Linked DNA regions of Arabidopsis thaliana. The protein of the gene in region 1 interacts with the protein of each later gene in a pairwise test. Each region holds a gene or a part of one and is shown on either strand. Other genes may lie near its edges.

What was found. Proteins that work in one complex are often made in the same cells at the same time.
Region 2: the proteins of PRA1.C (region 1) and ELIP1 interact in a protein complementation assay, tested with the Arabidopsis thaliana proteins (one large-scale study listed by BioGRID).
Region 3: the proteins of PRA1.C (region 1) and ABCG16 interact in a protein complementation assay, tested with the Arabidopsis thaliana proteins (one large-scale study listed by BioGRID).

The regions. Positions count from the first base shown.
Region 1 is NC_003075.7:14,532,420-14,536,077, forward strand, and holds PRA1.C (prenylated RAB acceptor 1.C), read right to left. Parts: upstream 1,655-3,658; 5' UTR 1,601-1,654; coding exon 1,028-1,600; 3' UTR 518-1,027; downstream 1-517. Other genes in the region: AT4G29654 (Protein kinase superfamily protein), read right to left, coding at 7-35; EMB2752 (embryo defective 2752), read right to left, coding at 2,076-2,195, 2,561-2,752; ACHT2 (atypical CYS HIS rich thioredoxin 2), read right to left, coding at 3,564-3,658.
Region 2 is NC_003074.8:8,083,851-8,087,655, forward strand, and holds ELIP1 (Chlorophyll A-B binding family protein), read right to left. Parts: upstream 1,820-3,805; 5' UTR 1,596-1,819; coding exon 1,452-1,595; intron 1,366-1,451; coding exon 1,267-1,365; intron 1,123-1,266; coding exon 778-1,122; 3' UTR 555-777; downstream 1-554. Other genes in the region: AT3G22845 (emp24/gp25L/p24 family/GOLD family protein), read left to right, coding at 3,523-3,738. UniProt on the Arabidopsis thaliana protein: Prevents excess accumulation of free chlorophyll by inhibiting the entire chlorophyll biosynthesis pathway (e.g. 5-aminolevulinate synthesis and Mg-protoporphyrin IX chelatase activity), and hence prevent photooxidative stress.
Region 3 is NC_003074.8:20,415,629-20,420,472, forward strand, and holds ABCG16 (ABC-2 type transporter family protein), read right to left. Parts: upstream 3,283-4,844; 5' UTR 2,925-3,282; coding exon 714-2,924; 3' UTR 555-713; downstream 1-554. Other genes in the region: AT3G55080 (SET domain-containing protein), read right to left, coding at 86-202; ABCG17 (ABC-2 type transporter family protein), read right to left, coding at 4,724-4,844.

The DNA.
Region 1 (3,658 bases):
CAATACATCCTCAAACCAACTATTTTAAAATGCATAGAGTTTGGAGGAATAAGGAGAAATCTTGAAAATTTATATATATTTTGCTTGTAGTTTGCTTTTGTTTTTCTTATGTTTTATCTTCTTTTTTTGCTTTAAATTAAACATGATTAACAAACTTTATATTTTGGTAATTCTAGAACACTATAACATATTAAAAAAATTATAAACAAAATAATTCTTCATAGACAATATAAACCTATGTAATTATCTCTTTGAAATAAATAAATTAAATATGTTTATTAGGAATAAGTCTTAGTTGGTTTTGCTTAACATTTACCAAATGTAAAAATATTGTATTCACTCTGGGACTAGGCCGGTTGATATTAGCGAGACGTCTAAACCACCTCAGATATTTTAGAGAGTTCCTTTTAAACACTTATCTCTTTTACAATTATCTAATTTTTTTACTAAAATAAAAATTTAATTGTATAATCAAATTATAGTAAAATATTAATATTTTTTTTATTTGAGAATTTTTTGGGGTTCTCTTTGTTGGAGATGGTCTAACTACTTCTTCATGTCGTGTCTAAAAAGTAAAATGGTATATATAGCCAAATCCCTATTGCATTTGAACTTGATAATTGTTGTGATAAAATTAAAAACTAGATCATTGTTCATATAAAGTTACAACCTTTCAATTCGTAATTGTTGAAAATGAGAGAATCGATTGGATAATTTGTAATAAGTGATAACTGAGAAGAGGATCACACTTGTCTTCGTTATTGTATTGGCTTGTTGGAGATAATTAGATAGGAATTCTATCATAGGATAATGTTTTTAATCAGCACGCAAAATTGCCTTTTATTTGTCACCAAGGTCTCTGACATGCATCAGTACATCAATATCCACATCCTGAATTTTGATCGCAAAAGAGCTCAAGTTCTTTTTGCAGCATGTTAACGTTCCTTCACTGGATATGCGTTGTTTTGAACTATGTAGACAAATTCAGGAAAGAAAAACTGAAAATCTTGTGCTCAATTGTGAAGACTTAAGAGGAAGAAGAAAGTGACGAAGATGATGTGTTCATTGCCACTTTCTCTTCATCATCTTCCAAGACGAACAACATCTCTGTATTCCTCCTACACATGCCATGAACCAGAACAACGGGCAAACCAGCCAAAACCCCGATCACAATACCGCGGGATACATCTGTTAGTAGAAATATACCGATCGTGAGGACCAACAAAACCAGCACCAAAGTAGAATCATCGATCACACTGCCAAATATCACCCATGGTTCATTATCACGGGAGTAGACATATAGCCATGCTACTATCAAGATAACAAAGACGGAAAGGTGGACGGGTTGCCAAAGCATGCTGATGAAGATACTAACAATGAAGATAACAATGTAGTTGGTTCGAAAGATCATGATGTTGGATTTGATTCGTTCAGTGGCAACGCTAAAGGAGATAGGAAGGCTAAAGGCACTACATTGGACAAGTTCAAGCCATGGCCTTTGAGAGCTAAGACCTAACGAGATCAATTCTTTGGCTCGTCCTAATAAGCTCAGGCTCGACGAAGCATTTTCTTGGGATGGTATAGTGCCATAGGTTGTCATATTCTTTCACAAGCAACAAACAAAAAAAAAAAGGAAGGAAAGAAACAGAGTACGTCCCCAGAGGAATCTATATGGACTAAAGAATGTGAAGCAACCTAATTTGAAGAGAAAAATCTGTGTTGGCTCAATGTTTCTGAGGTAGTTAGATCATCTATCTTATTTGGGAATGTTTTATTTCAGGACACCAGAAGAGAGGCAGATACAAGCAGAGATATTCAAAGGAATGAATGGATACCCTTAAACTTCTCAAATCAAATCCTTATACTATAACGAGACTGTCATTACATGTAATTTCTAGAAAATAGATTCTTAAGAGAGTCATTAGACTCGAAATACAGACACAAACATTCTACTGAACCAAAAGAAGTTTTTTGATATACATATACTAGTGAACCAGTATAAATCCATTTATATCTGCGTATCAAAGTCGGAGATACATCCTTCACCATAGTCTCTGATAGCCTAATCGTTAGCTTCACTGGCTGCTAGCATCTGAAGCAATAGCCTCACCACGATAAACTCTCCATGGTCCTCGATAGAATACTGGCTTCATCAGAGGCACTGTTTTCCCTGGGTGCTCTTCCCAAAACTTCTCCTGTTTACAGAGAGTGGAGTAACATAAAGTTCACACTCAAACAAGAAACATAACTGATACTAACACAAAACAGTGTAAGAAACACATTGACAAAGAATACAATATACTACAGAACAATGAATTAGATTAGATACTAATCAAGACGTAAAAGCTTCATTGAAAGACCTAATGAACCATTCCCATGAAAAGCAATTCAAGTATAGTTCTTTTCATGATCACACAATCCTTTATTAGTAATCAACAATGAATCATTTCCAATTTTATCACATTTCGAACCCTAACATTTACCAATCACGAGAATCAAATTAGAACCCACAAATCTAATAGCAATTCCGGGCCTGAATCGATAACAATACGAAGCTGACCTTGTAGAGCTGCTCTGTAACTGCAGCGCCGATGACGCCGGTGTAAAAGGCGGCGACATAGATAGTAATCAAAGTTGTGAAGGTTTTTGGTCGACGGTAAGGTTCGATCATTTCCCAAACAGCAAATCTCTCGAACTTATTGTACTTATAATCAGCATATTTCCTCCATAGTTGGCTCCACACTCCTTGCATCTCTCAGATTTCTCTCTTCTCAAACCTTCGCCGAATTTTGGATTTCTCCGTCTAGCTGTTTCGCGGCGGCGCGTGGGAACCTGAGAAAAATCTGATATCAAAAGGCAAGACTTTAAACGTTAAAACGTTTACCAAACAGTCCTCTTATTCCTACATGTTTTAGTTTTCAGCCCTTAACTTATCTTTAACACTTAAAAGTCTTGAGCTCACATTTGTAAATTTTTAAAAAATCTTATTTGATATGATTCTTGTAAATTTGTAAATTGTAATCACAACACATGATTATTGTAACCATTGTGCTATGTATTTGTTTTTCACTATCGTTCGGTAAGTTGAGAAAGTTATAAATTTACCCCAAAACTATGGAAATGAGACTTATGCAACCTCACATGACTTCATCAATAAGCTTGCTTTAAAGCAATAAAGAACAGCAGTAGTGAAAATACATTTGCAATTGACTATTAGCAGAAGAATCGTAACTGGCTTTAGGAAGTATTCTTTTACACCCAAAAATATGACGATATACAGAATTTTAAGCTGAGTATTTGCTTGAGCAACCAAAGATTGTTGCCTTAGTAATATATCTAAAAATCTGGCACTTCAACTTGATGCAGCTGGTTTGGCTAATGTTAAGCCTTCAGGTACCTTGGCTGGACCGAGGCTGCAACGATCGGTATTGTGCAGTTGGATTGCATCTTTTATCTTCTGAAACTGAATACACACAAATATTCAAAAGAAGAGGATGTCAAATAGTAATCAGAGACAGACCAAATGCATTCAACCGGTTTTGGTATCAATATCAGCAAAGGGTCTATAATATTTGATAGATCCTATCGAAAAAGAACAACGAAGTAGTTCTCTTTGTTTGAAGCGTTATGCCAAGCTCTAGTTGCGGAAAAGGTGAAA
Region 2 (3,805 bases), on another chromosome or scaffold:
TGTTTTTCCGATGACCGAAAAAGTATTTTATTATTTCAAACGTAAATTATGTTTGTGTTTACATATACCTTTTTTTTTATGTATTCAGGATAAAATATTCTTAGATTTTCATACACTAATTTTTTTTTTGCTTGATATTTAAGTGATGTCTAAACATATATAAGATCTATCGGTATATGATCTATTCAAATGGCAATTAGAGTTGGTAAATTTATTATCTTCCCCAGCATTAAGATTTGAGATTCATTCAGTTTGAAGATTCTTTGATATTTTGTGTATTTTTATTTTAGTAGTTACGCTTAATGATATTGATTTTATTTTTAACTAAGACTTTTCTGAATCCACCATTTGTTCGAATTATATATCATCTATAGTGGATCACTCACCACTTGTTTCGTCGGCAAATGAAAGATGTGAATTTTCTTAACATTTTTTTTCTTTTTTTCTTTTTATAAGATGAGCATTAAATGTAAAACTCGATAGTAGGTGAAATCGTGTATTGTTATTTGTTAGGTTCGCAATTATGATGACAGGCCATTAATATAATTTGGCCTTGTAAGTCACATATTGTATGGTTATAATTTCTGAAAGTTTTTGGAAGGCGTAGAGCTTTATAGAACACCACTAATTTTAAAGTGTTTTTAACCCGAAGTTTCAAAATGTCACTTAGTACACATGTATAAAACACACAGTAGGCCTAACACAGATTACTTTACAGAGAAATTACATGGGCAAAATCGTATTAAAACATCCTCCCCATAACGTGCTCTCTTTTCCTTAGACGAGTGTCCCACCTTTGACGAACTCAGTGAACGCCAACGCGACCAAACCGAGCATCGCGAAACGTCCGTTCCAAAGCTCAGCGTCTGACGTCATGATACCTTTGGACTTGGACTCAACGCTTATGCCCTTGAAAAGCGGCACAAGCGACGCAAGTGTCAAGATCGCTGTTGTACCGAGGAACCATGAGACGCCACCGTCGGAGATCTGAGCTAAAACGTTTTCACCCTTGGATAGCTCGACAGCCAACGCCGCAACGAATCCAACCATCGCTAAACGTCCGTTAATCCTCTCTGGTGCTGGACCGCTAAACGCTAGCAAGTCGCTAAACTTTGTGCTCACCTATATTCACCACCCCAAAAGTTATTAACAAAGATTCACAAATAAAGCTTGTTTAATGAATTTTCAAGATTGTATGTTCTTAATATCTAAGACCCGATTAATTAAAATACAAATTCTTGTTTATCAAAACTTCTAAAATTATACCTTAGGTTTCATAGGAGGAGGAGGAGATGGTGACTTCGGCAACGGCTGAGCGGCCGAGGTAGATGGTGCTGGTGAAGAGTCTTCATTCGTGGGTCCTCCCTGAAAAAGTCAAATAATCAGACGGTCAGGATTTCATAGTCACATGATGAATGGCCGTTGTATCAGGGAAGTGGAGAATAACGTACCTCAGCCATGCATCTCACTCCCACCGGATAATTCCTCTTGAGGTTAGGGAAGCTACCGGCGGAGAAAAGCTTGTTGGTGTTGATCTTGCGAGTGGTTAATCCACCGGCGAAGACTGATTGCATGTTGAACGATGCTGTTGCCATTTCTAAAGCTTAGAACTACTAGTGTGAGAGAAATTAAGAAGAAACTTGGAGTAGCTAAGTGATTATCGCTTAGGTTACAGAACTTTAAGCTAGATCGTGTGTAGAAGCTTGATATGAGTAACGAATGATCTTACGTATGTATTTATAGGACGGGTGATCAGAAATGATAGGTCATTAGGTCGAGTTGTTTCCTGAACTTTCTTTTAGTTATTTACTTATTTAGCCTTTCGATATTGATAAGTTAATATAGTTCACACAAAAATAACCAACGGTCAAAAACATTACACGTGAATCATATAGTATTTGAAAGGTTCACTATCTAGGTTGAAGGATCAGCGTTCAAATTTTCTTACTACAATTTTTATTCTGATTTGTTATTAAACTGTTTCAACTGGATTAATTAACACACACCAAATTCATTATAAGTCTCACATAGTATCATATTCTTTATTGTTATACGAGTAGTAATCAACAAAGTCATTAAGTACATCACCTCGATAAAAAGCCAATTCTATGGAAAAATTAATATGGACAGTTTATCTACATTTCATATTCTTATGAACTAAAACATGCTAATTATTTTATTTGGATCTCCAAGATTTTTGGACATCCAAATTATTTCTAAACTGACTGACTCGTGTATTTGGCCGGTCCAAAACAAAACACGTAGGCTCCAAAAGTGTAAAAGAGGAAGCTGCGATATTTAAAGGAACCACGTTGCTTAGATTGTCCCCACGCATAACATAAATTTAACTTTTGAAGGACAAGGAACAAAGTCCATGGCGTGGCCTACTCATTCGCCACAGTTTCTTCTCACTTTTTTGGCCAAGTGCCAAGTGGGTTAGGTTAAAAACGTAAAAAAGATTCTCTCCATCTCCCAAAAACATGTGGCTCAAAAACAAAGCATAACATTGCTTTCGTTTCTAGAATACGTTCATTTCATTACACATCTCTCTTTATGCTTTTGGAACTTAGCTGAGTTTGGATTCAGACAGGCCCATACTTAGTCTGGCCGAGTCCGTGACTGTTCTCTCTTTGTCCCTTTCTACGTGGCCGATCCTAACTCCGTCAGTTTTTTGGTAATATTTACGGTCGTTTCAAAATGTCAATAACTTTACAATTAAATGGAGATAAAGATTATTTACTGTTAAGAAAAAAAAGACTATTTACTCTTACAGTCATACGTATCTCATAACGGGCCGTATAGGGCTCATTAGGCCCATCAACTCTAGCTTCCCTAACCAAATCATGTCTTTCGCTCATATATGTTCGTTTCTAATGTAGTGTTGACCAAATCTGCAAATTGACATTCTGATCATTTTAGTCTTTGATAACATATGAAAGAAGAATTGTCATTCTCAACCTAAGGAAATTTGGAAGGATTCACTTTTACATGGTAACACAAAGAAGAAAACATATGATTCTTTAGATTTTGTTCCCGGAAATAATGATTTCTTAGAATATAAGTACTTTGACATTATTGACCAAATAAATAAAAACTACCTTGACATTATTATGCATACATAACAGTCAATTCTTTTTAACACATATCAATGGCGTAGATAAAAAAAACTTCCAAAACGTACATTAAGTCATTAACCAATATATATACAAAAATCAAAAATTTTTTGTAAAAACAAACATCACTGAAACACTTTTTGAAGTAAAATTTTATCAATTTAATCATAATTTAGATCGTATTTTACTTACATTAAAATTAGTAATATTTTTCTCTAACTCTCTTTAATGACCAAAAGCCGTTGACCAATAAAATCTCCCCGTGTCGTCATAAACCGGTTTTAATTTCCGGTTTGGTAATCTAAGTCGCAATAAAATCCTCTTTGTCTTCTTCTTCTTCCTCTACTCGGCGAATTCTCTCGAGAAAACAAACTGAATTTTTTTGATCGAAGAAGATCTAAAAAAAAAGATGGAGAGACGACAAGCGAAGATCCATGTCTTTGTATTGATAGGTCTAATTCTATTGAATTCAATCAATCAAATCTCATCTCTCTCTGTAACGGTGAACGACGAAGAATGTGTCCAAGAGTACGTCCTTTACGAAGGCGACACTGTTTCCGGTAACTTCGTCGTCGTCGATCATGATATCTTCTGGGGATCCGATCATCCTGGTTTGGATTTCACGGTTAGCGATCTTTCAATTTACCTTTTTACCCCAAAAGTTCTTAACTTTGATACGTTTCCTTCGATAA
Region 3 (4,844 bases), on another chromosome or scaffold:
AACACTTGAGATAATCAAGCTGTGAACAGTCCATCACATTGATTTCACAAATTTCACGAAAGTCTCAATCTTTCACAAATCAAACCTGAGTTTGGAGCTCTAACGTTAGTTTCCCGGCGAGACTGAAACGCTTGGCTAAAGAGCTAACATTGCGCCTTTGTTGAAACCCGAAAAGCTTCACTGTCGAAATGCAGAATAGCATCTCCAGCCAAACTGGATGGCGCGTGAGCAACCACCGCTCGTATTATGGACTCGTGTTTCGACTGCGGCTAGAGCAGAGCGGCCAGGACCAGACGATATTCTGATGCTGATTCGGTCCGGTTTGTTTCGGTTTTAAATTTCAGATAAATCGGTTTGTTTTTAATTGATTTTGTAGATAGCCTTCCAATTTTGACTTTTTGATACCTTACAAAGTGAAATGGCTTTGAGAGTTACTTGCCTCTAGCAACAGTGTCTGTGTCTCCTCATTTTTCTTCCACAATCTCAATGCCTCTATTTGAAATGTTGCATTAATTTTCTGAGTAAAAGCGATTCATAGGTGCTTTTTGTATTTCCAATTTCCTAAAGAATGATATTTTTTTTATTGATGGCAAAAGTAATACAAATGTTAAAAAGAATACAATTCAAATACACAATCAATCTACGAATTACAAGTAATGAAAAAGAATTACAATATATGTTTTTGGTTTTAGGTATCATCAGTAGTTTCAGTTTCACCTCCTCTTGTTTTTGCTCCCAAGCAACAAACACAAGTAAAACAAAATCCTAAATAGGAATCCGAAACCTACCGTGATAAGCAAGCAGTTCCATTTACTAAGCTGTGTCACTCCTTGCTGCTTCAGAACATCAGCACCCGTCGTTAAACACGTAGAGCTCGATATCCTCATACCTATCGACCGGCTCACAGAATCCAAAAGCCTCAGCTTCATCCCATACGTCAATTCTCCCAAAGGCGAGTTGTCGAAAAGCTGAACACCTCTCACAAAACATTCTGTAGGATCCGAGAACTCGTTCTGAAGAACCGCCTCGTATGGATACTTAACCAGAGAAAGATAATGAAACCAAATCCAATACTGAGGGATTCGATCTCTGTTGATGAAGAAGCCACTGAAAAGCAAGAAGTAAGCTAAAATAGCAACAACGATCGTGTAGCCTAACATCACATGTGGAACGACGCCGGATAAGAAAGTCACGAAGGAGCTTCCGGACCAGAAAGAGGCTAAGATGATTAAGCAGTAGAATAAAAAGCCCATTAGGCCTCCTTCAAGCCCAACAGCCCAAAACGTCGTCACTGCGAAAGCTAAAGAGAGGAAGATGAGCGAAGGGAAGGTAACAATGGCGTGAGAGAGAACGTAGGAGGATCTCCGGTAAGCGTTGTAAGCTGTTTCTCTCATGAAGATGTAACGTTCCTGGAGGAACACGGGAAGAGCATCGGCGCAAGTGTAGAACATTGTTGACATTGCGAATGCGAAGAACCCTAACCGCTCTTGAACTCCTTTTGGTGAATTATCCAATCGCCAGAATACGGTGGCTAAGATGAATCCGGTGACGATTACGGTGGCTAATCGCATTCCGAGTAGCTCCGGTTGTCGTCGGGAGTTGAGGATTGAGCGTCTGGTGAGAGTTTTGATTTCGATCCAGAACGGATTCGCGAATGCAGGGACGGCTAAGGTTCCGCCACCGTGGTTTATGACGGAGGAACCACCGCCGCCACCGGAGACTAGTTTTCCTCTGCTTATGCTGGCGGAAATCGCTTCTTTCAAGGTTAAATTTGGGTTTGGAGAAGCCGGCGGAGTTAGGGTTTGAGGATTGCTCTGTTTCTTCATCTCTTGCCATTTCTTGTTGAATTCAACTAATCCTCTTGTTCCTCCAGCTGATCCTTCGAGTTCTCTGATTAGATCGAGTGCAAACTCCGTTTGATTCTCGTTTTCCGGTATCGGATTACCGAACCCGGCGAAAAAGCTCGGTAGACTCGCCGGAGAACCACTAAAGACGGTGTGTCCACGTGACAAGAAGATAAGACGATCAAGTAAACTGAGAACTCTGTGACTTGGCTGATGTATTGACATTATAATGATACTGCCACTCTCTGCGATTCTCTTCAATACTTTAACCACCATGAAAGCACTTGTGGAATCTAAACCAGAAGTAGGTTCGTCGAGGAAGAGAACAATCGGGTCGTGGATGATATCGATTCCGATCGAAACTCGCCTTCTTTCTCCACCGGAGATTCCACGGTGTCCTTCGTCTCCAATGATTGTTTTAGCAGCGTTTCTTATCCCTAACTGGTCGATTAGGGCTTGAACTCGAAGCTTCTTCTTGGATTTAGGTAAGCTTCTTGGTAATCGAAACTCAGCTGCAAACATTAAGGTTTCTTCCACAGTAAGCATCGGGAAGAGAAGATCGTCTTGCATTACATAAGCTGAGATAACTTTCAGCATCCGAGATTGAAGAGCTTCTCCGTTAAGCGTTACCGTGCCCTTCAAGCTTCCTTTAGCGATCCGATTCGCTAAAGCGTCGATCAAAGTGGATTTACCTGACCCGCTAGCTCCAAGAACGGCAAGAATCTCTCCGTCACGAGTCTCACCGGAGATATTGTCTAGAAGAGTCTTGGTCTTGGAGAAAGATGTCCTCCTCCATGGAACCAGGTCGTGAAAGTCAAGTTTCCGGCGAACAGAGACGTTGTAAGTAAGGTTGTTGAAAGATAGAACGAAAGGAACAGGACGCATAAGATGATCATTATCTCCGTCAAGTGAAGAACCATCCCTGTCAAAGAATTCATGAACAGGAGTTTCGTCACCAACTTCAACCTTACGAACGTCGCTAACGTTCTTGAGAAGTTGGCCTAAAGTCAAAGATGAGCTAATAATCTCCATGGAATGAAACGGTGTTGCATTATCATCTTCTACTAGTATGCGAGACATTTAGAACAAAAGATGGTAAAGTGAGAAATGATGTGCTTACACTTGAAAATCAAAACACTCTTTGCATGATCAAAATGTTAGTCTTTGTTCTCTGTTTTGCTAGTATCTGTGTATAGGCCTTATATATATGAAGTAACGTGTGGAAGCGTGTGAACACGAAGGTTCTATGTGTTGAATGAGTTGCATCATCATGAGAAATCTGTTAGGTTTGTGTTGTTAACAATAATATTCTTAGCGTTTGGATGGAAAATGCGTTTTGGATTTCTCGTATTCAATTAGGGAGAGGTAATGGGATGACCAATAAATCTAGATTTTCCAAGGTGATAATACTAAAATACGTAGAAATGGCTGACACGTGGCGATTAGAATGGAGAATTAGGTGAAGGGTGTTGATCTAACCGAGGTATAGATAGTATATAGGATTGAGATGAGATATTTCTTGCGTTTCACATAGTGTTTGGTCAATTAATTAATGTTTTTAAAAGATTCTTCGAATGTTGGTAGCGATATAGTGATTGTTTGTATCGCAAGCAAATGTGTACCTAGATAAACTATTCACATTTTCTTTTGTTTTCGCGACCGAAGACGATTGCTTATGCTGCTAACTGCCTAAAAGTTGCAAATTGCAATAATTCCGGAACCCCAACTAATTCTACCAAATATAATATAAAAGTTATATTTGATAAAGTAGCTAGATTTGTATTTAGTTTGGGAATATAAACTCCTGTTTTTGCTATGAAAGACTACACACAATCTCCAAGTTCATTTTTTCTATTTCTTGATTATTTAGTTGGTAACGGTGGAACATTCTTTACCAAACTCAAATATTGTGTTTGGTCTTTGTTTCCTCTGTTTTATTCACAGTATACAGAAGCTGATAAAACATTCTTTTTGTTTTGTAAAGGGTGGAGTGGTGGTTTAAGAGAAATATAATAAAAATCGTCAAGTTTGTTGCTAAAATTAAACATGCATGCGAAAATTACACGAGAATCATAAAGATGGTGTCACATTTCAAATACTATTTGTTAAGAAAGTAAAAATAGTGATGTCTTTGATCCATCCAGGGAAAGAAGAAACAGATCAAAAGGTTAGGCAACTTCCTCTTAAGTAGTACTTGGTCAAACTTCTAGTGATGGACACAATGGTAACATGAAAGCAAAATTGACGTACTGGCTTAGCTTCTTGGATTTCCAATCCTAAACTTTGACTTCACTGTTACATCTTTTTGGTTGACATTTTGAAGTTTAGGTGACTAACTTCTACCTACTGTAGTCTTCCTTACCGCCATAAGAAAAGGGTCAAAGATTTATAATACCATCTAATAAAGCTTATAAGAAAGTTGGCTACTTTGAATTCTATTTTCGACCAACTGTTTAGTTGTATATACTTTTGTTTTTAAAAAGTGATGCAATTTGAATTTTGTCAAATACGTTATGTTTACACCGACCACGAAAGATGGCATATAGCTCACACGCACATTAAAACTACTAAATTACTTCACTGGTAGCTTGTGGTATCTTTATATTAGTTTGAACTTTAAACTATTGATGTAGTTCATATTGTTAAGTTAAAAACATTACCAATTGTGAATTAAACTAAAATCTTAGTCCTTTATAAAATTGTGAACCTAACATCATGTAAAATGTTAGATGTACGATTCTTTCTTTAGACAATATATGATAGCTATGAAAGAAAAAAATAATAATTATACAACATATATCATCAATATCTCAAATTCAAAAAGACAATTTTGCTTTCACAATAAAATTTCTGTTTCGGAAAAATTTACATTATGGCGTTCACGCCCTCTTATTCTTGCTTCCAAGCAACAACGAAAAATAAAACAAGATCCTAAAGAAGAATCCCCAAGCTAACGTTACCCACAAGCAACCCCATTTATCCAGCTGCTCAATTCCATGC